4 linked regions of the Elephas maximus indicus genome follow. The protein of the gene in region 2 purifies or fractionates together with the protein of the main gene of each other region. This does not show direct contact. Links are inferred from orthologs where the notes say so. Each region holds a gene or a part of one and is shown on either strand. Other genes may lie near its edges. The genes, in order: SAP30, ARID4B, SUDS3 and SAP130.

The links.
Region 1: the proteins of ARID4B (region 2) and SAP30 purify together in Homo sapiens (affinity purification with mass spectrometry; 5 studies listed by BioGRID and IntAct, with this or other methods). This does not show direct contact. The link is inferred for Elephas maximus indicus from reciprocal best matches to the Homo sapiens genes ARID4B and SAP30.
Region 3: the proteins of ARID4B (region 2) and SUDS3 purify together in Homo sapiens (affinity purification with western blotting; 3 studies listed by BioGRID, with this or other methods). This does not show direct contact. The link is inferred for Elephas maximus indicus from reciprocal best matches to the Homo sapiens genes ARID4B and SUDS3.
Region 4: the proteins of ARID4B (region 2) and SAP130 fractionate together in Homo sapiens (co-fractionation; 4 studies listed by BioGRID, with this or other methods). This does not show direct contact. The link is inferred for Elephas maximus indicus from reciprocal best matches to the Homo sapiens genes ARID4B and SAP130.

Annotation. Positions count from the first base shown.
Region 1 is NC_064839.1:69,620,686-69,628,546, reverse strand, and holds the start of SAP30 (histone deacetylase complex subunit SAP30), read right to left. Parts: upstream 3,457-7,861; 5' UTR 3,218-3,456; exon of another isoform or gene 2,904-3,217; 5' UTR 2,177-2,903; coding exon 1,856-2,176; intron 283-1,855; coding exon 157-282; intron 1-156. UniProt on the Homo sapiens protein: Involved in the functional recruitment of the Sin3-histone deacetylase complex (HDAC) to a specific subset of N-CoR corepressor complexes. Capable of transcription repression by N-CoR.
Region 2 is NC_064842.1:28,988,633-28,996,969, forward strand, and holds the start of ARID4B (AT-rich interactive domain-containing protein 4B), read left to right. Parts: upstream 1-5,269; 5' UTR 5,270-5,394; exon of another isoform or gene 5,395-5,701; intron 5,702-6,519; 5' UTR 6,520-6,568; coding exon 6,569-6,574; intron 6,575-8,337. UniProt on the Homo sapiens protein: Acts as a transcriptional repressor. May function in the assembly and/or enzymatic activity of the Sin3A corepressor complex or in mediating interactions between the complex and other regulatory complexes.
Region 3 is NC_064840.1:15,882,320-15,890,721, reverse strand, and holds the start of SUDS3 (sin3 histone deacetylase corepressor complex component SDS3), read right to left. Parts: upstream 3,385-8,402; 5' UTR 3,200-3,384; coding exon 3,058-3,199; intron 429-3,057; coding exon 359-428; intron 1-358.
Region 4 is NC_064824.1:15,803,732-15,811,072, reverse strand, and holds the start of SAP130 (histone deacetylase complex subunit SAP130), read left to right. Parts: upstream 1-3,910; 5' UTR 3,911-4,059; intron 4,060-4,689; exon of another isoform or gene 4,690-4,863; intron 4,864-5,822; 5' UTR 5,823-5,828; coding exon 5,829-5,940; intron 5,941-7,341. UniProt on the Homo sapiens protein: Acts as a transcriptional repressor. May function in the assembly and/or enzymatic activity of the mSin3A corepressor complex or in mediating interactions between the complex and other regulatory complexes.

The sequences.
Region 1 (7,861 bases), on a different chromosome or scaffold from region 2:
GTATAACTGCAGGTTAACTGGGTATATTTAATTTCGCTTTCATTTTCATGTTTTCTGATGCTTTAAACATTAAAAAAAATTGTTCTTATATCTTTTATGAAGTTTCATAATGGGCTGTTTAGGGTTTACATTTAACACATGGGGGCTTTCACCTACCTCTGGAGTATCAATATCTTGAACAGGTGAGTCACCTCCATCATCATCACTCCCTTTTCTCTTTCTTCTGTTTCGAACACTCTGAATTAAGTTTTTATGATAATCACAAATGTAAAGATGCCTTGCCTGTAACAGAAAAGTTTCACCGACTGCTTATGATTACAGTAAAATGTTGTGTCTACATACCAATAAAACACACGGGCCACACTAAGTTATTAAAAATAACAGTCAACAGCAACACTGTTTCTGTAGGCCCTTCTTCCACCCTGCTAAAACTTAGAAGCCTGACAAACTTGGTAATACAACCACAGCTAATAGGACAGAGGGGGAGGGGTGCCAGACAGTGAAGGGAGGGAGGCAGAGAAAGAATGAGAAATTCCAACCCACTGAGTTTTGTCACCAAATTGTAGCTAGGGTGGACTGAATTAACTAGTTAGTTCACTGCTGGATTTTTAACTGACAAGGGGAAAGACGATGTTGTCCACAATTTTATTATCTGTTTGATAGTATCTTCTCTTTTTAAATAGCATATTTTAGTATATGCTTCCTGATTTTTTTTCTAACTTATCCAAATTATATCTCAGATACAAAAGCTACATTCATTTTACAAATGAGCTACTCATTTCATATTCTAACCATATATGAATTTCAATTACAAACTTTTCTTCCTGAGTATTTAAAAGAACCGTATTTATCTACAATGTTTTTCCAATCAAAGCAACCTGAAATTTTTCTATTCACCTGAAAAGTTTTTCATGAACACGACTTGAAGAACTGTTTCAGCCGGCAGAAAGTATCACAAATTAACTTTTCAAAAACTTTAATTACATACAGTCTTGAGAGCTGGACAGTAATATTTGAAATACTGGGCTTCATACATTGACAGTTCATTCCTTTAAAAAGAACGATTAGGGACGGAGCTATAGGCTTTTAAATCTCTTGCTAAGTGCAACTGAAAAAAATAAAGGAGGTGGGCTAGGTTCTGGCATCTTGTTATCCATATACCGTCAAGCCAGAGCTCCGAAAAGTGGCAATGGCTGTTTCTAAAAACCTCACGGATGGCCCGAGAATAGACGCGCAGAAAGAAGGGAAACAGAAATCCTGATGGCTGCCCAGCGGACGGACAGCCGAGAGGCGACGCGCTCCCCACGTTCGGAGCAGAAAACGCTCCCCACCCAGCTTCCCTGCTGGGCGGCGGGAGCGGGAGGGGGGCTCGGGTCCCCCCCCCCCCGGTGCTCCAGGGAACGCCATGGAGCCCAGAAACGAGCAGGATCGCCCTAGCGCGTGGGGCAAAGTCCTGCACGACCCCGCTTCCCCCAGACGAGAGCAACTGCTCCGCCGGCCCCACGCCAGCTCTGGGGACAAAACAAAGGCGCCTCCACGGCAGGAGGGGCTGCCGGGCCGCACGGAGCCCCCTCCCGGGCCCGGAGCGCCGGTGCCCTTTGTCTGGCTTCCCGGCCGCCCCGAGAGGAAGGAGGCGGGGAGCGCGCGGGAGAGGCGCGCGGAGGGCGGCGGCGGCCCGCGGCCAGCGTGCCCGTGTGCAGCCGGCCGTCTGCGCGTCCCGGGCGGCCGTCGGCGTCGCCGCCACCGTGTCGCCCGCTTCCTGCCGGAGATCTCACAACCGGCCCCGCCGTCACCAAGCCGCCCCGCCGCCCCGCGCGCCGCACGGCCCCCAGCCCGCCGCCCCCGCGGCACTTACGCTCTTGTCCAGCTCGATCTTCACCTTCTTCTGGGAGATGCTCTTCTGCACCCTCTTGCTGAAGCTGGCGTTGCCCGCCGCCCGGCTGCACCGCTCGCCGTCCTCCCGCAGACAGCACAGCTGCCCGGGGCCCGGCCCGGCCGCTCCCGGGGGCCCGGCCGCCGACACCGCCCCGGCGCCCGGCACCTCAGCCCCAGCGCCCACCCCGGCCCCGTTCCCAGCCGAGGCGGCGGCGGCGGCGGCGGCGGCGGCCACCACGGCAGCCACCGCGGCAGCCGCGTCCCCGCCGCGGCTCATCTCCTCAGGGGTGAAGCCGTTCATGTCTCCCCGCTCGGGGGCGCCGGCGCTGACAGAAATCCTCGGCCGCCTGGCCGCTGCTCCTCCCTCCTGGGGTGCTAGGGAGACAGCGGGGGCCCGGCCGGGTGTCGGGGAAGTTCACTGGGCACCGTGTCCGGCGGCGGCACCGCCAAGGGCCGAGCGTCCCGGGCCGGCTGGCGTCTGCTGGCGCCGGGACAGCGGACACTGTTTGTTCGGGACTCAGAGGCGGGCGGCGCCTGGAGCGGCGATCCCGTTCCCTGTCACATGCCGTCTTCAGCAGTTGGACGGCCGCGCCTCCGCCTCCCTGCAGCCCCCGGAGCCGCGCAGGCGCGACGCGCCTCCTTCCCCGCCCCCTCCACTCTGCCGCGGAGCACCACGGGGACTGTAGTTCTCTGCGGCGGAGTCAACCGGCGCTCCGCCCTGCCCCTGCCCGGGTCCCTCGCGAGTTGAAGGAACTACTTATCCCAGCATGCATCGCGCGGAGACGGGCCGGCTGAGGAAGCTCTCGGACTCTATTTTTGTTTTTCGAAACGCCGGGTAAACAGGGACGTGTAATTGGCGGTTACGGTGTTTTCTCCGCACTTGTCTCTCCTGGGAAGTTAGGCCGTGGTTAGCTCCTGGGATTTCGCGGAGTCAGTGGTGTGGCAGTGTACTGATCACACCTCCCGCGTCAGACCAAGCGGTCAGCCGACTCTTGAGGCAAAGCACAGCGGAGGCGGGAGGAGTAAGCCTGTGGGAGGGTGGGGAAGGGAACAGAGTTTCGGGGCCGCTTTCCTCGCTGTGGCCAACAGTTCTTGGTGTGACCGCGCTTTATGGGGAAACCTAAATCAAGGAGAACTCGGGCGTCCTGGTGCTTTCCGGGCCCTCGGGGGAGAGCAGCCCCATCCATTCACGCACCCAATTAACAGGGCATCTGCTGCTCGGTGGAGAACGCCCATCCCTACCCCTCGCCCTTGACCGGTCCTCCTCACAAATGCCTCACTGAAGGCCGTGTCTAAACCCTGCTACATTCCTGCAAGGAACACGTTTGGGTTTGGGGCTCACTAAGTCAGCTGCTTCGTGATGTGGGGCCACTGACAAGCTGACAGTAGCAGGGCTGCTCTTCACCGACACCTCCAATCCTTTCCATTTCTCCTCCGATGGATCCGGAAAAGGGCGGCGTCTAAGAGAATGTGAAACCAACGGCAAAGCCAAGGCGGCTGGCCGGCTCCTCAGGAACTTGCCAGCGTTAGCTCCCCGGAGTGCGAGGGGAAATGGAAACCACATCCCTGGGTCGTCCCGGCGCGCGTGCACGTGCGCGCGTGTAAGGGCGTGTATGTGGGTGCGTGCGTGTGTGCGCGTCTGCATGCGGAGGGCGGGGTACAGGATGGGAGGGCTGACACGAAAGCTGCGGCTTTACAGTGACTTCGTTACAGCGCTTCCTGTATCAGCAGATACGCCTTGTCTAACGATCCCAGTGTTTATATAAAAATACTTAATATTTCAGACAGGACTTCTTTTTGAAAGTTCTCTTAGACTTACTACATTGAATGAAAGACGATTTTTAAAAAATGTTTGAAAATGCTCTCTACGTTGTTATTCAAAGCCGTCTTTTCATGTGTAGTATTTCAGTTCCAGGATATGGGAAAGGAAAAAAAAAAGTAAATAAACTGAGTGGGAAAAAGGAAGATGCTGAATAAGCACTTGGTGTTTTTTAAGCTGCACTGTCCAATAGGGTAGCCACTAACCATATATAGCTATTGAGCGGTTTGTGGTTATTGCGACTGAAAAACGAACTTAATTTAAATTTAAATACTGACGCGAATCAGTTAATGGAAAAATGTTTAGTATCTCTGGAACTTAGATAAATGTGTCCTTTCAACTTAAATTTTAAGAAAATTAAATATAGCATCTAAATTGAGATGTGCTGTAAGTTTACACTACACGCTGGATTTTTTTTTCTTTTTGTTGTGCTATAAGTTTTTGTAAGTGAAAGTTTAGAAATCAAGTCAGTCTCTCATACAAAAATTTATATACACCTTGCTATATACTCCTAGTTTCTCTCCCCCTAATGAGACAGCACACTCTGTCTCTCCACCCTGTATTCCAGTGTCCATTCAGCCAGCTTCTGTCCCCCTCTGCCTTCTCATCTCCCCTCCAGACAGGAGCTGCCCACATAGTCTCATGTGTCTGCTTGAGCCCAGAAGCTCACTCCTCACCAGTATCATTTTCTATGTTATAGTCCAGTCCAATCCCTGTCTGAAGAGTTGGTTTAGGGAATGGTTCCTGCCTTGGGCTAACAGGAAGCTCTGGGGGCATGACCTCCAGGGTCCTTCTAGTCTCAGTCAGGCCATTAAGTCTGGTCTTTTTACAGAATTTAAGGTCTGCATCCCACTGCTCTTCTGCTCCATCAGGGATTCTCTGTTGTGTTCCCTGTCAGGTCATACACACTGGATTTTAAACACTAGGTACAAAAAAAAAGAATATTGAATAGTCCGTTAATAATTTTTACATTGATTACATGTTGAAATGATAATATTTTTTGATATACTGGTTAAATAAAATATATTAAATTAATTTGATCTATTTCTTTTTTTAATGTGCTACTCGACAGCAGTGGGGTTTACTAGAATATTTAAAATTACACATATTGGTCACATTGTACTTCTATTAGACAACACTGTTTTCAAAGTATTAAAGCATACTGTTTATGGATATATTTTCTTAAATGGTAAAAAGGAGGACATATGAATGGATGGATACACCCCAGCTCAGGATGGTGGTCACATCTTGGGAGGGAGACCAAGGGATAGTATCTGGGAATGACTGTTACAGATTGAATTGTGTCCCCCCTCAAAATACATGTTGGGGTCCTAACTCTATACCTGTGGATGTAGTCACATTTGGGAATAGGGTTTTCTTTGCTGTCAGTGTAGGGTGTGTCTTAAAAAGAACAGATCAGACACAGAGACAAGCAAGTATACATGGAGGAAAGATAGATGCCATGTGGAGATCACCAACGGACCAAGACTAGAGAAGCTGAGACAAGGATTTTTCCCCAGAAAAGACAGCCTTCCCCTAGAGCTGGTGCCCTGGATTTGGACTTCTAACCTAGTTTGGGAATTGTGAGAAAATAAGCTTCTGTTTGTTAAAACCACCTACTTGTGGTATTTTTGTTACAGCACTAAGAAAGTAAGACAATCTTAAAGGCAATTTCTGCTGTATTTGTAAGTATATATATATAGCAAAGATAATAGTGGGATATTGGGTTTTAACCTTTTTCCTTATAATGTATTTTAAAAATAATTCACATTTAAAAAAAATTCATGGTATTGTTTAGTTCTTGCTCTTACAAGCTTGTAATTTATCTTCTGTAAAATGTGACCAAATCAGTTCACGTATGTATGTATGGGTTAGTTATGTATCAGTTTTACATGAACTTTACTAAAGTCAAGAATTGTGGCTATACCTCCTTTATACACAATACAGTATTTTTTCTAAAATATCCAATTAAACACTCGTTTATTGCATATTGCATACTAGGATCTTTTTTCTGTGGTATCGCTGGTTCAGTGGTACAACTCATCTTCCATGAGGGAGACCCACTTTGATTCGTGACCAAAGACCTCCTGCAGCCATCACACATCTGGCAGCGGAGGCTTTCCCGTTGCTAGTACGCTGCATAAGTTTCAGCAGAACTTTCAGACTAAGATGGACTGGGTAGAAAGGCCTAGCGATCTACTTCTGAAAAATTAGCCAGTGAAAACCCTACTGATCACAATGATCGGATCCATAACCGATCGTGGAGATGGTCCAGGACCGCACAACATTTTGTCCCATTGTGCATGGGGTTACTCCACAGCAGGCAACAACAATAGGATCTTTTCTAAGTCCCTGGTGATAGAAAAAGAGTTGGGAGAGGGTCTTAGCCATTTTGGCGCTCACCTGTTACTAGGGGAGACGGCTTGACAAGCACGTTTCAAAAGAGCATGATACAGGCCTTCATAGAATTAGAGAAAAAGTATAGACATAGCACCTAGGAGAGAATGATTAATCTCTGGTAAGTAGAAAGGACTCCTAGAGTAAGTGACATGTAAATTCTTACTACCAGGTTTAAAGTACCTCTTCAATAAATTTTTCATGATTAACATATTTCATTATTTATTTTATAAATTTCATATGCAGGGTGGGGACTCCTTGCTTCAAGTGTAATTCCAAGTCAAGGTTGGAATCAGATTTTAGGGGACCTCAAGCTTATATAATTTGAGGAGCCCTCTTTAAGTAAAAGCATATAAAATTATCAATGCAAAATTAGGTACCCACTGTCCTGGAGTCGATTCCAACTCATAGCGATCCTATAGGTCAGAGTAGAACTGCCCCATATGGTTTCCAAGGCCGTAATCTTTACTGAAGCAACCACCACATATTTCTTTTGCTGAGGGCTAGTGGGTTCCAACTGCCCACCTCTCGCTGAGCGCTTAACCACTGCACCACTGGGGCAAAATTAGGTACAGAGCTTGAAAAGGATCTGTCCAAGTGAGGAACAGATTCATGGGCCTGCAACCAGTGCAGCCAAACAGAGCCCCACGCTCTGAAAGGCCCTTCTCCCTGTGTACTGCACTGCCCACCCCCTTGGGGTTTAATCTCTACAATCACTATCATGAACTTCTTTATAATTTTATCTTTGTGTTTGTGTTTTACAAATGAAGTCTAATGGAACACTGGAGGAGGAGCTGGGGCTTGAAGCCCTAGATTACTCCAGGTAGCTGATGAACCAGTCAGCTTCCCACAGCGTCCCTGCTTTTCTCCACCCTCCCCTCCAGTATCGGTCTGATCCACAAGCACCATCACCAGGAGTGTTGGTCTGGTAAGCAGGCTCCTCCCCACCCCTGCCCTCACACTGAGTCACAGAGCAGGGCTCTGGACCCCCGTAAAGCTCTGCATTCAACCTGTAAGAAACCCTGTGTCCATTAAAAAGAATCAATAAAAGATAAGAAAACATCATGACAGGCCCAGAGAGAGACTGTGGAAGAGAGGAAAAAGAATTTTTCTCCTGCGTTTTGAACAAGAGGCCCCACATTTTCATTTTTCACTGGGCCCCTTAATTACATAGTCAGCCTTGATTGACAGCCCAGAAGGCCCCCATCATAAACCCCCTCTCCCTTCTATCATTCTATGGTATTTACTATGACACTTTTCATTATAATTTTACCATATTTACCCCTAAAAATATTTTTTTTAGTTTTGCCTGTTCTTGAACTTTATATAAGTAGAACTATGTAGTCTGTATTCTGATATCTTTGGCTTAATTCACTCTGGTTGTAAGACTATACTTGTATATAGTTTAACTAACTCTTTTCATTATAGTAAATATTCCATTGTATGAATAAACTACAATTTTGTTATCTATTCTATTGTTGATGGAAGGAGCCCTGGTGTCACAGCAGTTAGCCGTCGGCTGTTAACCAAAAAGCAGTTTGAACCCACCAGCTGCTCCCAGGGAAACACCTGGCGATCTGCTCCCATAAAGATTACAGCCTAGGAAACTCCTGTGGGGCAGTTCTACTTTGTCACACATGGGTAATAACAACAAAAACATTATTGATGGACATATGGCTTGGTTTCAGTTTAGGGCTATTGAAAGCAATGTTGCCATGGAGTTTTTGTACATGTACCCTGATATACATGTGCTTGCAGTTCAGTGGAACC
Region 2 (8,337 bases):
GTGCTCTCCTAACCAATTTTTTTTAGCTGCACTACAGATACAACAAGACTAACTGTAATACAGTATCTAACTGTAGTTCATGATTAGTGCTGTTCAAAGAGTCACACATAATGGAATTTCAGAATTGGAAGGCACCTTAGAGAGTTCTCTCAGTAAGCTGAAGATAATAAAGCATACAGTTACATTCGTTTCAGTGACAGCCACTTTTTTTGAATAAAGGAAATGAAGTTGAGCTCACATACTTTCTGTTTTGGCTATTCATAGGTCTTTTTACGATTCTCTAAGTTTGGGCAGGGGACTAGGAACTTTCATTTTTAATATGGCACGTGGTGTGACTCTGATGCAGATGGCCGAGACAGCGTGAAAAGGGGAACTGGAGATGATTAACAGGTTGCTTCCATCATACCTTGGAGTCTCTGGGTGGTGCAAATGCATAAACACTAGGCTGGCAGTTAAAAGCTACCCAGAGGCACCTGGGAAGAAAGGCCTAGCAGTTGCTTCTGAAAGGTCAAACCAAAAACCAATCCCACTGCTGTCGAGTCGATTCCTACTCATGGTGATCCTATGGGACAAAGTAGAACTGCAAGGCTTGGAAGCAGACTGCCACATCTTCTGCCTGCGGGGCGGCTGGTGGGTTTGAACCGCTGGCCTTTCGGTTAGCAGCCCAGAGCTTTAACCACTGTACCACCAGGTCACAACCATGACAATCCTGTGGAGAGCAGTTCTACTCTGAAACACAAAGGATCACCGTAAGTTGGAACTGACTTGATGGCAATTAGTTCTGGCCCATTATATCTTAACATGGTCTACTGCTAAATAAAAGGTTGGAGGTTCAAATTCACTGAGAGTTACCTAGGAAGAAAGGCATGGCTATGCTGCTAAAAAAACGGCCACTGAAAACTCTACAGAGCACAGTTGTACTGTGGAACATATGAGATCACTGTGAGTCGGAGTCGCCTTGATGACAACTGGTTTTTCCATCATACCACGATATAACCAAAGAAGGTGTGGTGGTGTTTTTTGTTGTAAAAGACTCAGGATGTGTTCTTCAATTTCTAAAGTAGTCTTACTAACTTCATAATGTTTAATACTAAACTCCATCTTTTATAACCCAGTCATCTCAGACTATGACCTCATCATTCACACTCACTGAGACAAGGGAATTCTAGTTCTGTTTCTCCTTCCTGGCATTAAATTAGAAAAGTAAAAAATACTTAGGAGGGCAGAACTCATCTGATGCCGAAGTACAAGTCTTTTCACCTATTTCAGTACATAACATACTGGTTTGTATTCATGCTGGTGAGCAAATCTGAAAATCTTGAAGTAAATGCTGACAAAGTGACCACAAAAGTAAAACAATTTCCAAAATCTCATTATTAGTGCTGACATTTCACCGTACCAGTACGATTAAAAGCTCAGTAGAGCTAAGACCACGTTCTTGTTGCTGCTGTTAGGTGCCACCGAGTCAGTTCTGATTCATAGCAACCCCATGTACAATAGAACAAAACACTGCCCAGTCCTGTGCCAGTCTCACAATTATTGCTATGTTGAGCCCGCTGACATAGCCACTGTGTCAATCCACCTCACTGAGGGTCTTCCTCTTTTTCACTGACCATCTACTCTACTAAGCATGATGTCCTTCTCTAGGACTGGTCCCTCCTGATAACATGTTCAAAGGACGTAAGACGAAGTCTTGCCACCCTTGCTTCTAAGGAGCATTCTGGCTGTACATATTCCAAGACACATTTGTTCGTTCTTCTGGCGGGCCATGGTATATTCGATATTCTTTGCCAACACCATAATTCAAAGGCATCAATTCTTCTTTTGTCTTCCTTAAGGACCACCTTAAGCAGTGAAAGTCTGGTACCTAATGTACTCTGTTTCTTGATAGGCAACTAATACAAGGGTAAAAGGATTGAACCACATTCTCTTATCATGTACTTATTTTTCTGCAGTAGAATGAAATGTGTAACATGGCAATAGGAGAAAAGAATAAAATACCTACATTCTTATGCAGTATTAGGCATGTGGAAAGCACGTGTCGAAGGCTGACTAATAATACCCACAGATTATCATCAACTGTACAAGGGCTTTCATGCTTCCATGTAGTGTAAAACAAGCATGGGTTGAAGAAACATTGAGAATCTGATGAAAGCTATGAATTTTCCTCCTCAAAAAAACCAACCAACCAACCTTGCATATATGTGAACATACCCACATAAAGATATACACACACCACAAAACTCTACATATAATTTCTCAGAGATCATGTACCCCCCGAATCCTTTATATGTGCCCCTGATGAATATCCACAGCTACAGAGTATCTTAATCTTTAACGCTAAACAAATATGCATGTCTACATGAAGTATAAAGCAGCTGACATAAATTAAAAAAAAAAAAAGTTTAACTCCTACCGAGAGCAGATTACAACTGGAAATAAAAACATGAAAATAGTATATAGTTTAGGTTACTCTGTAGGTTTGAAAGCTGTGTTTTTGTAGTTTATCCTTGATCATCTTTGTGAAACAAACAAAATCAGCACTTCACCAGGAAATCATTTTGCAATCTGAATAGAGAAGCGTTCCAGACAGAAAATTTCTGTATCTACCTTGACTAGCAATTAATACTAAGTATTAGTATTTTGGGGAGCTTTTGGGGTCACAAGGTTAAAAATGCTCAGAAAGTATTTTGAAATGATTCGAATGCCAAATTAGTAACCTATTACCCATACTGTTTGACAGCTATCTCTGGCTTTGATACAGATTATCTCATTCTTAGAGATCACAGAAAAATGCCAATTCTTCCTAAACAGGTACAATAATTGCTTAGGTAAAAGATTATTGAAGAGAATTAAAACAATTCGAAAAGCATCTCTCATCCATTTCTCTATTTAACCAGTTAGCCATCTCTTCCCAACTAGGTTGAGAACAAAAATCATGTCTGTAACTTTTTCACAGCCTCCAAAAACCCATTAAACTTAAAAATCAATGAAACTAAATTTCAAGAGTTCTTTTTCGTTTCTGTCTGGATCAATAACATTGCAACTGTTATTGATCTAGAAATGAGAGCTAACCTTTGTTTCAATTCTTAGTGCTTTGGTTGATGCTAGTTCTCAATTTAAAATACTAGTTATACATTTCAAAAAGGTGTTCTTTGCTTATTCAGAGAAGTAAAAGAATATTCAACAAATAAGTCAATCTTCCTTTCCCAGAAGGATTTTTATACACAATTATCCTCAGCAGCAGGAAAACACAGGAACCTCAATTTTTTAAGTACTGAAAATCCAAGTCTTGTATCTTCTTCAGAGTCGAAGTAGTATTATGGACTGTGGCAATGCATTGTGGCATACGGTCTGACCTGTCTGCCCCTTCCCCCCCCCGCCTTTTTTTTTACTCAAAGAACTCCAATTTGTCACAGTTGGATATTTCAGTTACCAGTACTAGACTTAAATGTAAAAGAGACATTAGTGTGTTACATGAATTCTACTACTTTATTTTCGGGTGAGTAACTACAGAATACCTCTGTGAGACTCTCAAACTACTCCTCACTTTCAAAACTGAAAAACTGCCTTAAATCTGTTCAAAATGTGGATCAATGAAAATTAATATGAACAACAGACTCTCTCCTCCGTGTGGACTACTACTGCAATGACCTCCTGGTTGGGCTCCCTGCATTCGGTGGCTTGTCTAGTCCTCTACTCTTCAGTCAGTGATCTTTGCAAAATTCAAATCTGATCTTATTACCCGTCGGGATGCGAATCCTTCAATGATACCGCATTACTTTTAGGATAAGAACAAAACTCTTTAACAAAGCCTGTAAGGTTATAAGGTTTCCCCCCGCCCCAGCCCCATACTGGAAAAGCTCCTAAAGCTTTGCAACATGTTAATGCCTTCTGTCTGTAATGTTTTTTGTTTCCTTAATTAACTAACGTCTGCTAACCCATCAGCTCTCAGCTCAATCCTCACTTGCTCGAAAAGCCTTCCCTTATCTCCGTAAACCAAATTCCCTACTACAAATTCTCACATCACCATGCAACTTTTCTCTGTAGCACTTACCGCAGTCGCAATTTTACAGCAAGTTGTGTGTCCATTTTATTTAATGCTTAGTCTGTCTCACTACTTAGGTCCATGAGGTTGGGCACCATACCAGCTTTTCCATATGATAGGGGCTCAATCAATATGTGAAGGACCGATGCATGGAAAGTGCCTTTTAACGCGCTACAGGAGCAAATGAGGGCACAAATTTGCGCATTAAAAGTGAAAATATCACGCTTTTTTTTTTTTAAGGAAAGCGTCTGGTTTCAGAGTTGCTAAATTAGAGACATACAAATGTGAAGCGCAGCATGAATCCTTCCACCCAAGTCCTCGGGGAACGATGGGGCTGAAGAAAATCACCTGACAGATATAGGCAGGGGATATAAATAACTTTGAGGCAGATTTTCAACAAAATCTAGGTAAAAGAACTTCAAATCTTTACTCTGCCTAGCACAGGGGTCTTTAGGTTTCTGCTTCCTCCCCGCTCTCCTGCTCTCTGCCGCCTCACTCTGCCGGGTCTCAACCGAAAAGATGGAAAATACACAATCCGGTTCAGCATCCGGGTCCTCGCCCCCCTTTCTTTCCTCTCTGAGCCCCGCCTCCCCCGCCCTCTTCACCATCCGGGTTCCCCCCAGCCGCCACCGCTGCCGCTCACGGTTAAACGATGATATCACGACTTTCACGCCGCCGGTCCGGTAGTAGCTGTACCCAGCATTAACTTCCCACTTTATAGTTCAGACCACGGCTCCTCCCGACGCCTACTTGAGGCCCTCCCCTACTTCACAGAATTCTCCGCCCTCCTCAGCAGCCAGCGACCCCGCATTACTCGGTGCAAGAAAATGCGCCATCCCGGTCACACTGCGCAGGCGTCGTTGCCGCCTCCCCACTGCTTTGTCGCACCCGCCCCTTTCTCCCCCTCCCGTCTCTCGCAGGCGCGGGGCATTGCGGGTGTTGCAGTTCTCTGGACTAGGGGCTTGCGCATTGACCTCAGAGGCTGGACTACATTTCCCCGGAAACTTTGAGGCATAACTTTCTGTTTCCATAGAACTGGTGGGAAAATGGCGTCGGTGTTTGTATCGCAGAGACCAATAAGAAGAAGGTATAGGCGGGCTCTAAGTAACTCTAGCCAATCCGAGGTCGTCTAAGAGGCCATCCGGGAAAGAGGTAGGGGAGGGGAGAAAAACCAAGGGGCGGGGTGAAAGGAGAGGAGAAGCGGGGGGGGGGGGACCTGAGGTTGGTGGGGGAAGCGATGTTTGCCCGTCAGTCGAGTCCGGAGTGAGCAGCTCGGGCGCCGGAGCGGAGGGTGACTGCGAGCTTAAGCTTGCGGCTACCACGGCCACTGCCTGGTCCTTTGCCCGGTGAGAGCTACAGAGGGTCCACTGCTGCCGTCCTCTGGAGGGCAGTGCGATTGGGGACCCGGACCTCCAGTCCGAGAGGGATTTTTCGTCTTCCCCCTCCCCCCCAGCGAGGGAGCCCGAGCGGCCGCCAAACAAAGGTACCAGTCGCCGCCGCGGGAGGAGGAGGAGCCGGAGCCTCAGCCTCAGCAACCGCTGGACCTGCCGCCCTTCTTCCCCCATCTCTCTCCCGGGCCTGCTGGTTTTTGGGGGGGAGGAGGAAGGGAGGGGACTCTGGACGTGCCAGGGTCAGATCTCGCCTCTGAGAAAGGTAGGGACATTTTGGGGGCTTTTGGGGTCTCGTAAGGGAGCCTTTTGGGAGTCACGGGGCCCGGTCGAGGAGCAGGAGGGAGATCGCCGTGGTGGTCTCTCAGCGGGCTCCCGAATTCGGGGCCTCTTTTTCCCGGGAGCCTCCGCCCCCCCCCCCACCGCAATTGCGGAGCCCGAATCGCCCATGGCCGAGCGGCCGCAGACTCAGCGGTTTAGCGGCCCTCGGCCGCGGTGGGGGGCCCGGCCGGGGGGGGCTCCGTCCGAGGTCTCCGGTCCTCACGCTGTCCCCCGCGGTGTGGGCAGGTGGTGGTCTTGCTCCCGCTTCGCAGGGTCCCCGGCCCAGGAACGGGCCGCGGGCAGAGGCTCCTGGGGGGAGGGGGAGCCCTGCCGCGCGCGGCCCCTCGGGTCGGCCGGACTTCTTCCGCGCCCCTCTCGGTCTCCTCCTCCGGGCCGGCCGCTCTTCGGCTCCGACGCGGGGCTGCGGGGCCCTCAGGGCAGAGGAGCAGCGCGGCGGGGCGAGGAGGCGCCGCTGGGAGGGCAGGCGACTCGGCGCCGGACTCCGGGCTTGTTGTGAGTTTCTTCTCTGACAGAAATGGCGTCATTGTCGGAGACGGGAAACTCCGTCGGGTCCTGACAATGGGGACGGGAAGCTGCCGAGCGGTGTAGGTGGCTGGCCTTGGGGGGACGGTGGGGCCAGAAGGAGCCCCGAATCAGCGTTTAAAGGTGTCGGGGCTGAGGCTTTACTCTGTCCCCTGCGTCTTTGCCGGCGCAAAGGGGGGGTCTGAAGTGCTGATCGGGGGTCTTTTGTTTCCCCTCCAGGTGCAGGTGAATCTGGTGTTTTCGAGGGGATCGCGGCCCCGGAATCACAATGAAGGTAAGATTGGCTACTGAAAACAAACCTCTGGGGGGTAGAACTCAGGAAGTAGGGGATTTGCCCGAGGTCGTCGTGTCGGGCCTCCGAGTTTTGCAGAGGAAGGTGTGTTTGGTGGCTTGGTGCCCATGCCTTTCCGCGGGAGACGATGGGGGTCAGCTGGCGTGGATCGCTACATCTCAGAGGCTTTGCTGCCGCCTGGACACTTGGGCCCGTGAGTTGGAGTCAGTGAGGGTGATTCTTCTAGGTAGAACATCTCCTTTTGCAGGGAGGGACAGGAATAACTGCACGAATTAGAATGTTTTAAAACGTAGAACTGAAAAAGCAGGTCAAGTAATCGGTTTCTAGAAACTGAACTGTTGTGGTTCTGTCGGTTACAGTGATGAAAGAAAATCTTATTTATTGTTGAACGGTATTGCGAATTTTTAGCAGAAAATCTATTTCATTAGCGAGAAAATAATCTTGATTGAAAGGTTTTCAAAGAGAATTTTGGTGATCTTTCCACAGTTCAGAGATAGCAGTTGTTCCTTGTATTTCTAGGGACTTATGTGTTTTATTTTCCTTTATTGATCCAATTTGTCTGTAAATTGTCCGATGCTGTATTGCTTTGTGATGTGTGGAAAATTGATGGCCAGGTTTCTCTTAAATGTAAACAGGTTAGCTGAATGGAGGATGACGGTGTCTGAAAAGTACAGTTTGCTTAATTGATGGAAGAAATGATAACAATAAAAGTACAGGTGGTGGTTTTTCGGTTTAGAGAATCTGTAATTGAATGCTGTCTGATTTTTTAAAATACACTCGAGAATAAAAAGCCTTAGATATCTGAAATGTCTAGATTCAACTGGTGGAATTTTGAGGTTAGCAGATGTTTTTTTCATCCGGTGCATACTGAGAAATGCTTGAAAAGGGTAGAGTGTGTTCACAAGTGTAGAAATGGAACAGATAATATGTTAAAGTGTAACTGTCATTTACTTTTGAGTGTTCCTTTGATGAATTATTTTTAAGAATGTATTTCACTTCGAAATCAAGACCGGTTTTACAGTACTGCATCTGGATTAAAATTTGTAATGCTTGTGTTTATAGAAGAAAGTAAAATCTGTGGCTGTTGAGACGTTTGTATCTGCTACAGACTTCTCTGTGAGCCCAGATCGGTTTTTTCCTTGAGTTTGGGTGCTGTAAACTCCTACATGGAACAGTTTTTATCTGCTCAGTTCCTGTATCAGTGATGTTTCCGAAATGAATCTTTTGTTAGTTGCAGATAGTAGCTCCAACTCCTGTGACCTGTGTAAAACGGTGAAAAGTGGATTTATTAGGAAAACCGTATATCTTCCTTAGTGTTGGACAAGAATTTTTTAAGAAAACTGTTGGTTTGAATAATATGTGAAGTTGAGGAGCTCAGTAATACGGGTTTAGTTTAGAATAAGTGTCATCTGTCCCAGTTCCCAAAGGAGTGCTTGACACATCTTAGGTTCTCTGTAAATGTTTGGTTAAGAGAAATGTGGGAGGTTGAAGGTGTTTAGATTTAACATTTCTTTTTCTTTCTTTTTTTTTTTTCACTTGTCTGTTTAAAAAAATGAAAGTATATTGGAAATTTTAGCCTTAAAAGTTTCATAGTATTAGGCAAATGCAAATTTTTTGGTATTATTTTAGAACTGTTAATTTTAAGTGCTCAACATTTCCATTCTTATCTGCTTAAAAAAATCAGTAATATTAAAAGGAAAAAGTTATTAAAATTTCTAATTTTACACAACGGGGACTTTTTGCTG
Region 3 (8,402 bases), on a different chromosome or scaffold from region 2:
AACACATGTACATGGTCTTTGAAGCACAATAGTCAAAACTACACACCAAACCAAGGACCAAACCAGGTGCCATGGAGTCAACTCGGACTCATGGTGATCCTATACGTGTCAGGGTAGAACTGTGCTCCACAGGGTTTTCCACAGCTGATTTTCTGGAAGATCACCAGGCCTTTCTCCCGAGGCACCTCTGGGTGGACTCGAATCTCCAACCTTTCAGTTAGCAGCCAAGCACATTAGCAGCTTGTACCACCCAGGGACTCCAAAACCACACACACATGGTCACTTAAAGATTTTCTTGCCAACTCTGTATTCCAGAAAAGCAATATGAAAACGACATGAAAGAGCTTGTGTTACTCACTGTTCCTTCATTTCTACATAGTCTTCTTCATCGTGTTTTGCCAGGTCAGTTTCACTAGCATCCTCAGTGTCTGAGTAAAATTAGGAAAGAAGGGTTAGTTAAATCATGAATCACAAAGTTAGTATCACCTGACACGGTGTAAGCACTTAATAAGCTTCTGTAAAATGAATTTCTACTCAGTGAAGGCCTATGTGAAGCCATCAATGAAAAACACTAAACACAGTTACCACAAAAAGAAAATGCCATTTCCAGCATACACAGCCAGAGGTATTCTCAGCGCATCCTTTATCTACAGTGCAGCCAGAGAACTGGGCACGTGAGACACAAGCAGTCATAGTCAAGGCTGCCACTTCTGCAGAAGCAAGAAAGATGGCAGTTCAGGAAAGGGAAATGTGGCTGTAAGGCTGGGAAACTGTAGGCAGTAGCCTTTCTCACTAGTCTAAAAAAAAACCAAATGTGGCCATCTCTTCTGGTACATGCCCAGTTTGACTCCTTAAGAGATCTGATGCCAGATACATACAACACACACACATACACAAAACAGTCGCTGTCAAGTCAGTTCTAACTCATAGTGGCCCCATGTGCTTCAGAGTAAAACTGTACTCCATAGTTTTTGGTGGCTGTGATCTTTAGCAAGATCACCAGGCCTTTCTTCCAAGGCACCTCTAGATGGATTCGAACCACCAACCTTTTGGTTGGTAGCCAACCGCTTAACCCTTTGTGCCACCCAGGAACTCTAAAGGATAAAAAGGAGAAGACAAAACAACTAATTGAATTCTGATAACTGAAATATTTTCAAAGTTGCAGCTACAGGGAACAGGAAGGAGGCAAGATGATCAAACAGAAACTGTTTCAAAACATTTTAAACATTGTTCTTAGAAAGAGCCAATGGCTGGGCTGTCTACATAATTTCAACAGCCCTACAGGAGCAGTTCAAATCCACCAGGCACTCCTTGGCAATTCTATGGGGCATTTCTACTCTGTCCTATAGGGTCACTGTGAGTGAAAATCGACCCGACAGCAATGGATTTGGGGTTTTGGCGGGGGGGTTTACTGGAGCCCTAGTGACGCAGTGGCTAACCGTTCGGCTGCTAACCAAAAAACGTCAGCAATGCGAATCCACCAGTTGCTCCCTGAAAACCCAACGGGGCAGTTCTACTCTGTCCTACCAGGTCACTCGACCTCAATGGGTTTGGTTTCTTACTGGAGGAAAAAAAATCCATTTTGGTTTCACCGCTCCCCCTAGTGGGTATTAAAAGCAGTGCAAGCGACTCATAATGAAAATCCCAGGTTACGGCTTGTCTTCTAGGGTACCCGAACCAAATCTGTAGAGCAGGCAAATAAACTCAAATTCAGGAAACTCAGCAGTCACCAGTGCAATCCAGAGAAGTGTGTCCTCAAAGAAGAAATAACCCTTTCTAGACTTTCAAAGTGTATCCTCCCCCGAAGACTCATAAAGTCATCAATCCAATTAGTCTCAAAGTCATCAATCCAATTGGTCTCTTCAACTTTGCAGATAACCTTTGGAAGGGCTACTGCAAGTCCAATTCTCCACAAACCCATCTGCCCTCCTTCAGTCAAAAGACCTTCAAGGAGCTCCTGTGACGTGCCAGCCAGCCAAGCTCCTGGGCCCCTGGGGGACTGAGATGAAGAAGGAATACTCCGCACCCCAGTCAGCCGGTCTAGCTTTTGCTCCACAGCCCCATATTGTTCCCGAATACTTCACCCATGGATTGGGCTCTTTTATCTCTTTCTTCTCCCTGCTCACGTCTCTTCACCTTTCTCCTCCAGACAGCCAGCACCCTCCTCAATTTCTTCCCCAAAACAGTGTTCCTCACACTTGCCAAACTGTAAAGCCCACTTTAAAAAGCAAGGCTCCACGAGACGACAACGCATAATGTGAAGTGCACGGAATTGAAAACACAACCCCTGGGCACCAGTAAGCAAATCCATATTTCTCCTCGTGCCTGTCTCCCCAGTGGGTGTAAAAAAATACAAAAAAATTCTCCTGTGTATTTACTGAGTACCAGGCCCTGGACCAAGTACTTCACGGACATATTTCATTCAAACCGCGTAACTACCCTAGGAGTAAGTACTACTACCAGCCCCCTTAAAGTTGGGAAACTGAGGCTCGGGAGCTTAGGGAAGTTGTTGAAGATCACAAAGTTGGGTTAAGTGACAGTCAAATTTAAACCTCAATCTGGCTGATTCCAAGTCCTGTTCTTTTAACCAACCTGTGTCTACAGTGCCCGAAATGGGGCTGATTTAGACATGGGGCGGGGCGGGGGGGGGGGCAAGTTAGGAACCAGGAAGCCAAACTCGGCTTTGCTCTAATCCTCTCAGGAACGAAAATGGAAGGGGGCGTATTCGATGCACTCCATGGGTGGGTTTCCCGTTCCATTCGGTGCAGACCCGAGGCTCCACTACGGACGGTTGGGGGTGGGAGGGAGAACCTTAAAGGGACCTCCGGCTCTGACAACATCTCCCTCCTCCCCGTAACTGTAGGGTACAACGTACCCCGGGATTTCCCCCTTCCCCAGCGCAGGTGAAGGTAACCACCCGGAGCCCCGTTCCCCCCAACCGCCCCCCTGGCCGGCCCTGCGCCCCCGGAGGTCGCCCTGCCCCTCTCCCATACACCCCGATCGCACCCCCGGGGTACCACCTCCGCCCCGGGCTACCAGGCGAGCAAGAGGACGCACCTTCGTCCGATTCGCGGCCCCGGCAGCTGCGCTCGTCGTCCTCGGCGCTCTCCAGCTCTTCCTCCTCCTCCGGGTAGTACTCCGGGGCCGGCGGCGCTCCAGCCGGGGCCGGGGCCGGAGCCAACAACCCCGCGGCACTCATGTCGCCCGCAGCAGCGGCAGCAGCAGCGTGTACCGCCGGGAGACCGCGGCCACCCGCCCCGGGGACTTGACGTCCACCTAGCAGAGCCCGAGGGGGCCGCCAACTCGAGCAGCGGGAGCCAAGGCGCCCCCACCTCCGTCTCCGCCGAGCTCCGCCCCCATCGCCCGCGCTCGGCAACGGGGGCCTCGCGCCGGCGGCGACTTCCGGGTCGCGAGCTGTCCGAGGACCGCCTGACTCCGCCATGCTTGAGGGAACGCGGCGAACGCTGCGACGCCTCCTTCGCCTAAGCACCAGCCCCTTCATCGCCGCCTAAAAATCCTCAACACTATGGTGCGAGAGAGCAGAGGCAGGATCGATCTCTAGAGTTAGGCAAATGTATGGACAGGCCTAGCTGCGGCCAGGACCCCGAAGCGCAGAGGCGACGTCCAGTAATAGCCGCCAGGCGGCGCCTGGAGCCGGAACTAAAGTGAGAGTCGTTAGCGTCCTAGGGGGACGGAGGATTTAAAGGACTGTTGGCAGGTGGAGGTGGGCTCTTTAATGTAAGCAGGTGAATCATATGAACCGTACCCTTTATAAGTCGGGAAACCCAAACATCCAGAGTTTGAGTGACCAGAAGGATGAGCCCAAGCCCTTCTCCTGACTCACTGGAGCTCTAACAACTAAAATAAAGGATGTTGATACTCCATCCTGGGTTCCGCAACAGTATTTTCTCAGCCCGTGGGAGCCATTTGTCTTTGTACAGGTTTATCCAAAAAAGGTGTTCACCTGGTTTTAGAGATAAGAAAGGATACATCACTTGCCTTAAAAAGTGGTTGCGTCCAGTCTGCCTTGTTTAGACTCCCAAACCCAGGCCCTCCAGAGTACAGTGGCTTCATATTTCCTCGAATACTGATATTTTAAAAGGTTATATTGCCCAATGCAATAACTTGCTAATCAACTCTCAAATAACCAAGTGGTGTATTTGCCTACAGAAAACTAATTTGGCTAAAGTAAGGAAGGTCCCTTGTGGGAACTCGGGAAACAAGAACGCTGACTGAAGTGGTAAATTAGTTTGTGTGATTCCCTCTGAGTAGAAGGCGATATAGTATTATGTTTTGGTTCATGTACAGATCTAGGGTATCCATTTTTCTGAGAGTCGTGTGTTCTAGTGTGTAGCAAGAAAAGGAATACGGAAAAGGGTCCAGAGATGTTTAACAGTTTCGCGAAAGCTAACAGAAAAACCCTAACCTAATTTATATTGCTACCCACGTCTCAGTAGAAAAAGTAATCTAAAAGTAGTAAAGTTAAACCCGTTACTAAAATCCCTTTCCGTACAGTCAATTCCAACCCCAATAGGTCACACTGCGACCGCCGCATAAGGTGTCAAAGGCTGTAAATCTTTTCTCCCTCTCAACTGCTGCTGTGTTCAAACCACCTACCCTTGGGTTAACAGCCAAGCACTTAACCACGGTGCCACCAAGGCTCCTAAAAGGCAAGCAGGAACAATAATATTCTGATTCTTAGATTCTCTGTAATCAGGTTTTTCTCTGAATTGGCCCCATCGTCTCTTAAAAATTAAAAACTTTATTCTCAACGCATTTAACTTTATTTTAATTTTATGTATTGTTTCAATTAAAATCTTGGCTCTATTTGTAAGAGATTTTTCCTCCCAACAAAACTCAACAATTTCCAGAATAGAATGCTGCCATATTTTTTAGTAGTCTGGGGGACTCAGGGATCTTCTTTTTTGTAAATAAGAATCATTCTTTGGCTGTAGGTCCGCCATCTATATTTAAATTAGAATTTCAGGGCTGTCTGTTGTCCAAAGAATGAAGTCGTTTTCTTTTTGTGTGCTGTTGGATCACATCTAAAATATTTGTAATCAACCATCTTGAGCAACTTGAGTTCCTATCAGTAGCAACAATCAGACCAAAAAAGCATCATGGAATGCTGCCCCGCCCTGCTCCATCTTCATAATTGTTGTTATGCTTCAGCCTATTATTGTAAACACAGTGCCAAGCCATCTCATTGAGGGTCTTCCTCTTTTTCGCACACCTCTACCTTCTCCTGATAACATTTCCAATATCCATGAGACAAAGTCTCACCATCCTCATTTCTAAGGAGCATTCTGGCTATACTTCTTCCAAGACAGGTTTGTTCGCTGTTTTGGCAGTCTATGGTATATTCAATATTCTTCACCAACTCCGTAATTCAAATGCATCAATTCTTCTTCAGTCTTCCTTATTTATTGTCCAGCTTTTGCATGCGTATTTTAAAAATTAGAGTTCTTTAAAATAGCAAAACATTCGAAAGCTGAAAACTGTATAAGGCAGAAACCTGTCAGAGAAGGGAAATGCAAGTATTTTCCACTAAAAGGAACAAAAGAAAAGTGGTAAGACTGCTCTCTATCAAAGGTGAAAAACTTTCTATTCCCAGAAAAACAAGGCAGTCCCGTCATTCCGGCTTTCACAGGTTTCACTGTATAATGAATTTCAAAAAAATAGACAATTTCATTTACAGTTGATTTCTTTTGTAGACACTGGGGTTTTTATCTTGCTGATGTTTTATTCCTATTTTTATCTTCCTGACTGTAAATAACATCTGTTGATTGTCATGCATTTCTTTTTATACGTAATGAACAGACACAACTGAACACTTGAGTGATGAAAACTTACCCCTACTGTCTTCTGTCCACGTTCCCTTCTGCAGAATTGGTAGGAAGAACTCAACTAATAAATGATCTTTAACGAATGGACACCTGGCAAAAAATTATGGTTTTGGTCTAACCCCACCTTTATAGTCATTTACTATGAAGACTATGGACGTAATTAAATTCCCTCAAAACCAAGTTCTACCTTCAAATCAGCTGTTTCCCCTCCCAAAATAGTACTCAGCCACTGCTTAGGAAACATCTACTATTTCAGAACTTGACTTAAAGTCCTGCTAGGTTTTTTTTTAGGCGTTTCCAGAATGCTTTGTGCCTCCAGGCCTCCTCTGCCTACTCTTAACACTGAAATTTAAAGAGGAGCATCATAACGGGGATAGGGCATGATTTATGACCACTAGGGAAACCATATGTATACGGATACATATGTATACAGGCCTTAGCCCTCAGAAAACTCTATATCATTAATTTTTTGTTTAAACTTCCGCTGACTGGACCAAAAGAATTGATAGAGTTTTCTGAGGGCTAAAGCCTGTATACATCTGACAAGGCTTATGATTCAAATACCTTCTCGAAATGAAATAATCTCTTCGTTAAACACTCGTTTGTCCAAGTCCTTAAGTTTACTTTGGAGCTCAGGGGTGAGGATAGCAGTTATCAGTATCCAGTATTGATGCGATCAACATATCCGGTTTCACAAAAATACAAGGAATGGCTCTGGGGTAACATAATGCACTTTCATCCCTGGCAGGCACACCTGGGTCAAGATGGGTCTCTGATTATCACAGGTTACTTGTGGGGTCAAAGTGCCTTATACTTTGCCCATTAGTTCAATCGGTAAAAATCTGAGTTTCTGGATAGGCTTGCCAGAGGCTTGCTAGAAGCTAACAAGGGTTCCCCTAACCCCCTAACACGGTTCCTGTCCTTACTGCTGTAATACCACAAGATCAAAACTCGCAAAGTGAATAAACCCACAAAGTATTTCTAAAGCTTCGTCCTTGTACCTATCAGAGTGTGCACCAGCAGGGCTGAACACTTAAGCACTGTATACATCTAGTATATAAAAAACTTTTTTTCCAGCAGCATTAAGCTGACTTGTCTTGAACGCAATGGAAAGAATGGCAATTCCCCTGCCAGAGAAATAAAAGGGTTTAAATCCAGAAAATATTTTGAAGTCCTAGGCGAATAAATGCCATATCAATTAACGGTATAATTACTGAGATAGCTGTGCAAGGGCTAGCAGGAGAATAGGGACATCTCCCAAGGCTCTACCTTGGTGGCCCCGGGCAGCCCAATGGGCCTTGGCCTCTGGGAGCCTCCCAGGAAAAGTTAAGGCGCTGGGAGGAGTGACATGAACTTTGACCTCCAAAGCAGCGCAAACAAGGCCGACCGCACCCCATCAAGCCCCATGAGTAACTGAAGTTACACCGTCTTCCGGGTTTGAGGACACCCCGCCCCGCCCCGGCCCGCCCTCTGTGGAATCCACCAATCGTCAGGTGCCATCGACAGCTCCGTTTCCCAGGCACCTTCAGTCAAGTACCTATATCTGGCCCCAGCCCTGTGCCTCGCGATCAGGGAAGGTCAGTAGAGAGCCTATCGGAGCCGAGCAGGGGCGTGGTCTGGAAGCTGGGGGCGGGCAGCCTGGGGAAGGTGGGGCGGAGCGCGCTCGGCGCAGTCGGGTGCGATTGGCCACCCCTGGCAGGAGCCGCACCTCGGACAGCAGCAGCGGCGGCGGCGGCCGCGATAGGGTCCGTGTGGCGCCCGGTGGCGGCGGCGGCAGCAGCGGCAGCAGCAGCAGCAGCAGCAGCAGCGGGGTTCTGCGTGCAAGAGTGGGACCCGACGCGAGGACTGGGGACGGAGAGTCTGTGCGGCCGAACCCGGCATTCAGCGACCGGACCCAGGGATCCTCCGGGGGACAAGCCGCAAAAGAGCGACTCGGGAACAAGTGTGAGAGAGGAAGCGACGGCGGCGGCGACGCCGGGCCCGGGGGCGGTGACAGCAGATCTGAGGTGAGAGCACCGGGGCGCGGAGCGGTGACAGCGCGAACCAAGGCGAGGGAACCACGGGTAGAGTGAGGTCAGCCAGGACCTGGGTGAGGGGAGCTCCGGGAGGGGCTTTGACAGGACCGACTGAGGAGACGAGACCCCGAGAGGGGCCGGGACAGCGGGTCTGCGGGGAGGGGACCCCGAGAGGGGCCGGGACAGCAGGCGTGAGAGCAAAGTACCTCGGCTGGGGGCCGGGAGAGAGGATCTGAGAGGAGGGCTCCGCGGAAGGGACCGGGACAGCGGGGCTGAGGAGAGGTCCCCGCGAGGGGACAAGAACAGAGTCTGAAGAGGGAACTCCGCGAGGGGCCGGGACGGTGGGTCTGAGGGAAGGGGTCCCTGAGGGGAGTTAGGGCGGAGAGTGAGGGAAGGGTACTCCGAGTGGGGCCGGGACGGCCAATCTGAGGGGAGAGGTCCCCGACAGGGGACAGGAACAGCGAGCTTGAAGACAGGGGACCCCGAGAGGGGCCGCGACAACAGGTCTGAGGTGAAGGGCTCTCGAAGGGGGCTCCTGGGC
Region 4 (7,341 bases), on a different chromosome or scaffold from region 2:
ACAGTAGAAGGGACAGCTGGGGCACAAGAAGGTGTCTTCATCTCCAAACAGCACACTAAGATCAGTGGATGGGAATTCTAAATACTAGTAACAACAATGGGCAAAGCATCAGTTTTCCTTCCAATGTCCACTATGTGAGGTACTGGAGGCATGGATGAATAAAGCAGCAGAAACTGTCCCTAGTAACTAATAACAACTCAGATTTCATTCATGTACTGTGGGTTTTTTTTTAATTTTGATTGTGCTTTTAGTGAAAGTTTACGAGTCAGTCTCCCACACAAAAACTTATGTACACCTTGCTACGTATTCTCAATTGCTCTCCCCCTAAATGAGACAGCCCACTCCCTCCTTCCATATTCTCTTTTTGTATCCATTTCGCCAGCTTCTAACCCCTTCTACTCTCTCATCTCCCCTCCAGGCAGAAGATGTCGACATAGTCTTAAGTGTCCATCTGATCCAAGAAGCTCACTCCTCACCAGGATGCCTCTCCATCCCATTGCCCAGTCCAATCCCCGTCTGAAGAGTTGGCTTTCGGAATGGTTCCTGTCTTGGACCAACAGAGGGTCTGGGGGCCATGAGCACTGGGGTCCTTCTAGTCTGTCAGACCATTAAGTCTGGTCTTTTTATGAGAGTTTGGGGTCTGCATCCCACTGCTCTCCTGCTCCCTCAGGGGTTCTCTATTGTGTTCCCTCTTGTGGATGTTTTTGTAATTCTATTCAGCAAACACTTACTGAATGTCTCCTGGATAGAGAATACAAAGATAAGTCATTTATTTCCCTTCCTACTCCGGGGGAATAAAAGGCAGGCACAAATTAGTGCTGTAATAGAGATATTGAGGAAGTTCTATGGAAGTATCCTAGAGAGTAGGGGAAGGAGAGAAATGTGAGGAAGGTGTCTCAGTTACCCTAGTGCTGCTATAACAAAAATACCACAAGTGGATGGCTTTAACAAACAGAAATTTATTCTCTCATAGTTCAGAAGGCTAGAAGTTTAAATTCAGGGTGCCAGCTCCAAGGGAAGGGTTTCTCTCTGTGTCAGTTCTGCAGGAAGATCCTTGTCATAATATTCCCCTGCTCAACTATTTCAAGGAGATTCTCAGCACAGGGACCTGGGGTTCAATGGATGCACTCTGTTCCTGGCTCCACTTTCTTGGTGGTAGGAGGTCCCTCTGTCTCTCTGCTCGCTTCTCTCTTTTATATCTTGAAAGGGATTGACTCAAGACACAACCTAACCTTGTAGACTGAGTCCTGCCTCATTAACATGACTGCCTCTAATCCTGCCTCATTAACATCATGGAGGTAGGATTAACAACACATAGGAAAATGACACCAGATGAGAAATGGTGGAGAATCACACAATACTGGGAATCACGGCTTAGCCAAGTTGATACACAGTTTTGGGGGACACAATTCAATCCATAAAAAAAGGCTTCTTAGAGAATAATAATCACTTTCTTTCCAGTTAGGCATTACAGAATTGGCAGAACTCTAACTGATAGTTACTGAGGGTCGAGACCTATAGAAGACTTTTCAGGCTTCAGTAAAACCCTGGAAGACCAACTGTGGAGAACTGGTGAAAGCTGTTGTCGAGAGAGTATCCAGTGTTTGGAGAGGTAGAACGGGCTAAATTATTACAGTTTTTGGACACTAGATTTAATGGACTGGAATATATTATTAAATTATTGGAACATCATACGCAGATTAGTAATTTAGAAAAAGAACTCTCTGGAGAACAGGCTGCAAATAGGAAGATATTAGAGTGGGGGCAATATTAGTCTAATCAAGACAAGAAATGATGAAGCTTGGAGCCAGGGCTATGGAAGAGTTTGGAAAGGTGAAAAGGTACAAAATCAATCCAATATGGTGACTTTGGGTGATGGAAGAGTGGGAAACGAGTTGAAACCAAAGGCAGAAAGAATGGTGGTGCCCTTAACCAAGCCTAGGAACCAGGAGGAGTAGATAGGTGAAGCAAATCAAAGAAGTTTTTCAATATGTTAAGCTTGAGCGGCTTGTAACACAGCTACGTGAACTGGTACAGCGCTTGGAAATACATGTGAGCAATTCAAAGACAGGTCACCATACAGATAAAAAAAAAAATTGAGTCAATTAGAAGGAAGCATTTTAAATGGTTGGGAGTAGCATTAAAAGAGGTTTGGGGCCTTGGAGAGTGCCATATTTATGAGCAAAAAGAGATATAATGTAAAAGGAGTAGAAACAGGAGAGGGTGCGATTATGGAGGCCAGGGGAAGAACACCTTAAGTAGGAACACCTGTTCAGTAAACTAAACAAGAGGAGAACTAAGTAAGGATCACTGGATTTGGAGTAGGCCAGTGGCAACTTTTGGGGAGCAGTTTGAGAAGGGCGGTGGGAGCAGAATTCAACAATGAGACAGAGGAGGCTAAAGTATCTGATAGTCGTTACTTTTAGAAGAGGTTTGGGAATGAAGGGGAGAAAGTGAGAAAAGAAAGTGGCTTGAAGGAAGAGGGCAGGGTATCTCAGACTCATTCTTGCTGCCCTGAGCTACTGTCCTCCTAGCCAGCAGTTGTCTTGGCAGTGCATGATAGGAAGAAGGGATTTGAGCCCATTTATATCTTGACTAGGAAACCCTGGTGGCATGGTGGTTAAGAGCTAAGGCTGCAAACCAAAAGCTCAGCAGTTCAAATCCACCAGGCGCTCCTGAAAACTCTATGGGACAGTTCTACTCTGACCTTTGGATTGCTATGAGTCAGAATCAACTCGACGGCAGTGGGTATGGGTACATCTTGACTAAGGAGGCCTGGTGGCGCAATGATTAAGCACTAGGCTGCTAACCAAAAGGTTGGTTGCTAGCCACTCTGCAGGAGAAAAGACCTGACCATCTCCTCCCATACAGATCACAGCCTTGGAAACCCCATGGGGCAGTTCTGCTCTGTCATATACGGTCGCTCTGAGTGGAAATGGACTCGAAGACAATGGGTTTCGTTTTTTTGGTTATAGGGTGTCTATGAGTCGGGATGACTGGACGGCATCAACAACACAACAACAACACATCTTGACTAGTCACGAACCCCCCATACCTAAATTACCATCTGGGGAGGGAAAAAAAGATGGGGACTAATCTCTATTATTAAAAAATTATTAAGAGACATAAATTTTGCCTCAGCAGCTTTTGGCTACGACTTCCAGAGGTGTATAAACTCCAACCCTCCACCCCAACAAAAAAGAACCAAACAAAACCATCCTTCGATTCTGTATAATCCAGAAAAACGGAGCAGGTGCACAATGCCTCAGTTCTTTTTCAGGAGAGCCTCTCGGAGCAGACCTCTAACGGGGGCCCGGGCAAGCTGGGCAGGGTGTGCAGCTCAGGAGGCTGTGCGCCCGCCGCAGACTCCAGACGGTCGCTCAGTTCAGTGTGCACAATCCTCCCACGATGCCGGGGCTATTCTGGCCGTGGCCTTCGGGGGCGAGACCGAGTCCCCCAGGCGGCGCGGGGAGGCGGGCTCAGGAAAGCTCTCGGCCGCGCCTGCAACCCCGTCGGCCCGTTGCAGTTCAGCCTCCGTTACTCTTTTCCCGCGCCGCTCGCTTCTCCTCTCAGGAAAACGGAACCTAGTGCTGTCACGCTGGGGCACAGGGGAGGGGATTCACTATCTTCTCACACGGCGGAGAGGAGAGGCCCAAATACTCCAGACAGCAAAGCGGTGAACGGACCAGTCCCGGTTCGCCGAGAGGCCCCGCCCCGTCCCGGCACTCCCACCTCCTTCCCGGCCCGCCCTCTTGGCACCGAGGACTACATTTCCCAGAGGCCTCTGAGGCACCGAGGGGGCGGGCCCGCCTTCTCTCCACTCACACTGGGCGGTGACTGGCTTTCCCCGAGGGGGGCGGGGCGTTCCACAGCCAATAGACGGGAGGCTCGTTACGGCGGCGGAAGCAGCGGCGCTGGACTGAGGGGTGGGGGGTAGAGGGCTAGCGCTCCGGAGGCGGCGGCAGCGGGTCCGGAGCCGGAGGACGTCTGCCCCAGGGGCTGAGAGCGCAAAGGACTGAGCCCGAGGCGGCGCGGCGGCCACTAGGCGCAGGCACCTAGGTAATGGCGGGACGGGCGCCCGGGAGGCGAGGGGAGGAGACGAGGGGGCGGGGCGGCCGAACCGGGCTGCAGCGTTCGTCCGCGGCGCGTCCCCGGGGAAGGGCAGCTGTGCCTATCTCCTGCGGCTAGGACCCAGGCTATTTTGCGAGCTGGGCACGGCGGTTGGGCCGGCGACAGGGGTCGGGCGTCCCGGGGCAAGGAAGAGAGAGGCTCCCGGGAGGGGTGTGCTGAACCGGGCGTGGGGGCGTGGCGGGCTCGGGCCTGGGCGGGGAAGTGGAGGAGTCGGAGCTGCGGGCGGCGGCCGGCGGGCGGGCGGGCGGCCCGGGGAGTTTGGCTCCTGGAGCAGTTTAAAGTGACTCTCCACATCCGGGCCCTGCGCCCGCCGCTTTCAGACCCCGGCCGAGGCGGGGCCTGCCCGTGCCCCGCCCCCGTCACTGGGAGAGCTCGCCTTCCTCTGCCATTGGCTGCGGCTGGAGAGGTTTGGGGTGCCCCAGCGGGGCTCGCGCCTGATTGGCTGGCAGTCGGCGGGAGGGTGGGGCGGGACCAGAGCGCGCAGGCCGCTTTGGATTGGTGCCGGCCCTGGAGTGACGCGCGCGGTGTGGGGGCCAGTGGGCGGGCAAGGAGGGTAGGGGCAGGTCCGGGGTAATAGGACTGGGAGCCTTGCGGCGGCCGAGTGACTGGGTGAGTGGGGCCGGCTGGGCTGGACAGCGGCGTGCCCTCGGCGCGCTCCGCACGAGCCCTCTTCGCGCCCCCCGGAGACCCGCGCTGCCACCGGGATGGGCCCTCCACGGCACCCCCGGCCTGGTGAGATGAAAGCGGGAGGTGCGGGCGTCAGCTGCAGGTAAAGGGGCAGGCAGGTCGTCCTGGGGCTCCCCAGGATGCCGGCCCTCCCGGCGAGATGGAGCCTCAGAGACCCGAAGTTTCTGGAAACCTGTGTTTTCTTTGATCTCAGCGATGGGCTTGGCGATGGGGTAGGGTTACAGGCGAATCGGGGGAAATCAGTGGAGCTTGCCCGTAGGGGACGAGCGGAGGACGACTTGAATGGAGGCGGTGAAGGTCTTTGGTCCTTTTGGCTTAGTGGAGGAATATGAAAGAAGGGAAAAAAGGAAATCTGTCAGTAAAGGCCTTTGCCTTGTGAGAATTCTTTTTGGATCCAGTCTTGATGAAAGTTTCCTGATCCTTTCAGGAAAAGGCATCTCTGTCCCAAATCTCCTCTGTCATATTGACTATAGTTCTGTACACCTTGGTGTGAGGTTTAACTTTCAAAAAGACTTGTCATTCTCCATACAACTGCACAGATAGGTACATATGCATTCTGTTAGTACCTGCCATGTGGTTGTAGTACAGGATTCTATGTTGATTTTTTAATCACAGCAATCCGTAAGTATCTGTGGAGGATCATAGTATCTCACTAGTACCAAACCAAGCCAGTTGCCATCAAGTCGATTCCGACTCACAAGGAATAGGACAGAGTAGAATTGCCCCATAGAGTTTCCAAAGCTGTAAGCTTTACGGAAGCTGGCTGCCACATCTTACTCTCGTGGTTAGTATCCCACAGTGTTATACAAATGATTTTTATTATTAATTGAACATGTATACCTTAAAAACTTAGGTAATTTCAGTACTGTATGTCGATCACAAGTATTTTTTTTTAAATAATGTATTTACTAAGTGAAGATATCATGGGTCACTAAAGATGCTTTAATTTTCCGTTACTTTAACCTCAGAATCCGTCAATAACCATGTGACTGTATGTACTGCAGGTGGAAATGAGTTCTCAACAGTTTCCTCGTTTAGGAACCCCTTCCACTGGGTTGGGCCAAGCTCCTTCACAGATTTCAAACAGTGGCTCTGCAGGATTGATAAACCCAACTGCTACAGGTAAGATGTTTAACATTGTGCATTGCTTTCTGCATTAAGAGTATTGCTAGTTTTCTAATTTAAAAATTAGTAAATACCCTCTGGGGACTTAACAACAAAAAGACAAAGAACTTGATCAAAAAATATGCAGAGGACGTAGTTCACCAAAGCAGATGTTAAGATGGCCAACAAGCACATGAAAAGATGCTCAACATCTTTAGCCATTAGGGAGATGCTATCCAAACTACAGTGAGATACCACCTCACCCCCATCAGAATGACAATGATGCAAAAAAAAAAACAGAAAACAGCAATGTTGGCAAGATCCATTGAGAAGTTGGAACCCGCATCCTTTTGGGTGGGAATGTAAAATGGTGCAGCCACTCACTTACCTGGCTAATTCTTGTTCTTGAGCTTTCATCTCAGATGTCATCTCTGGGAAGTCTTTGCTAACAACAATTCAAGTTAGGACCTCCCCTAGACTGAAGGCTGCTCAGGGATTGGGACCATGCGTCTTTGAATGTACTATACGTAATAAAATACAGAGCACAAAGTAGTGGTCTGTAAGTTCTTACAGAGTGACTTAAAGCTCTTTTACTCCTTAACAAATATTTTTGACAGTCTTTGGGATAAATTCACAACAGAATAAAGGAACATAGCCGAAGATAATATTTGTGAACACTTTTTTTTTTTACAAGGAATTATGCTGCTTATTAAAAATGGAGTTAATTACTAATAATTGCCCCCAAACTTTGATGGCTCAATAAAAGGGAAATCATTGACTTAGACCAAAATTGTCTATAATTTTACTTCTGAAGAGTATATATGTATAAATGTTTATTCTTTAAATTGATCTTGAAAACAGAGTATAGAAGTTTTTCATAAATAGGTATTTATGTTTCCCATTTTTTTTAGAAGAGCCAATTTGGGATCCTAAGCTTGTGAGGATTTCAAGTGCATACTTAAAGTTAGGAAGTATGGATTAAAATGAAGTTAACTACTGCTTTAAGGTTCTTTTCTGGTAAAAATGAACTGCAGAATGTCCAGGAGGAGATGACAAATGGATCTTAAAAACAACTTAAGAGGAAATGATCACTACTTGTATATTAATGAAATAGAGACAAATCAAAGTCATTCTGGACAAATAGATTTTGAGGAAAGTTATGAAATTGTTTTCCTTGAGAATTAATTAGGGGAACATCTATTTGGATAATACCAAAAAAACCAAACCCATTGCTATCAAATTGATTCCAACTCATGACAGACCCCCATGTGTTACAGAGTGGAATGGCTTCATAGGGTTTCCTTGGTTCTCGCCAGGCTTGTCTTCCACAGAGCGGCTGCGTTGGTTCAAACTACCATCCTTTAGGTTAGCAGCTGATCAATTGCAAATCACTTGGGACCACCCAAGGAAGGTTAAAAT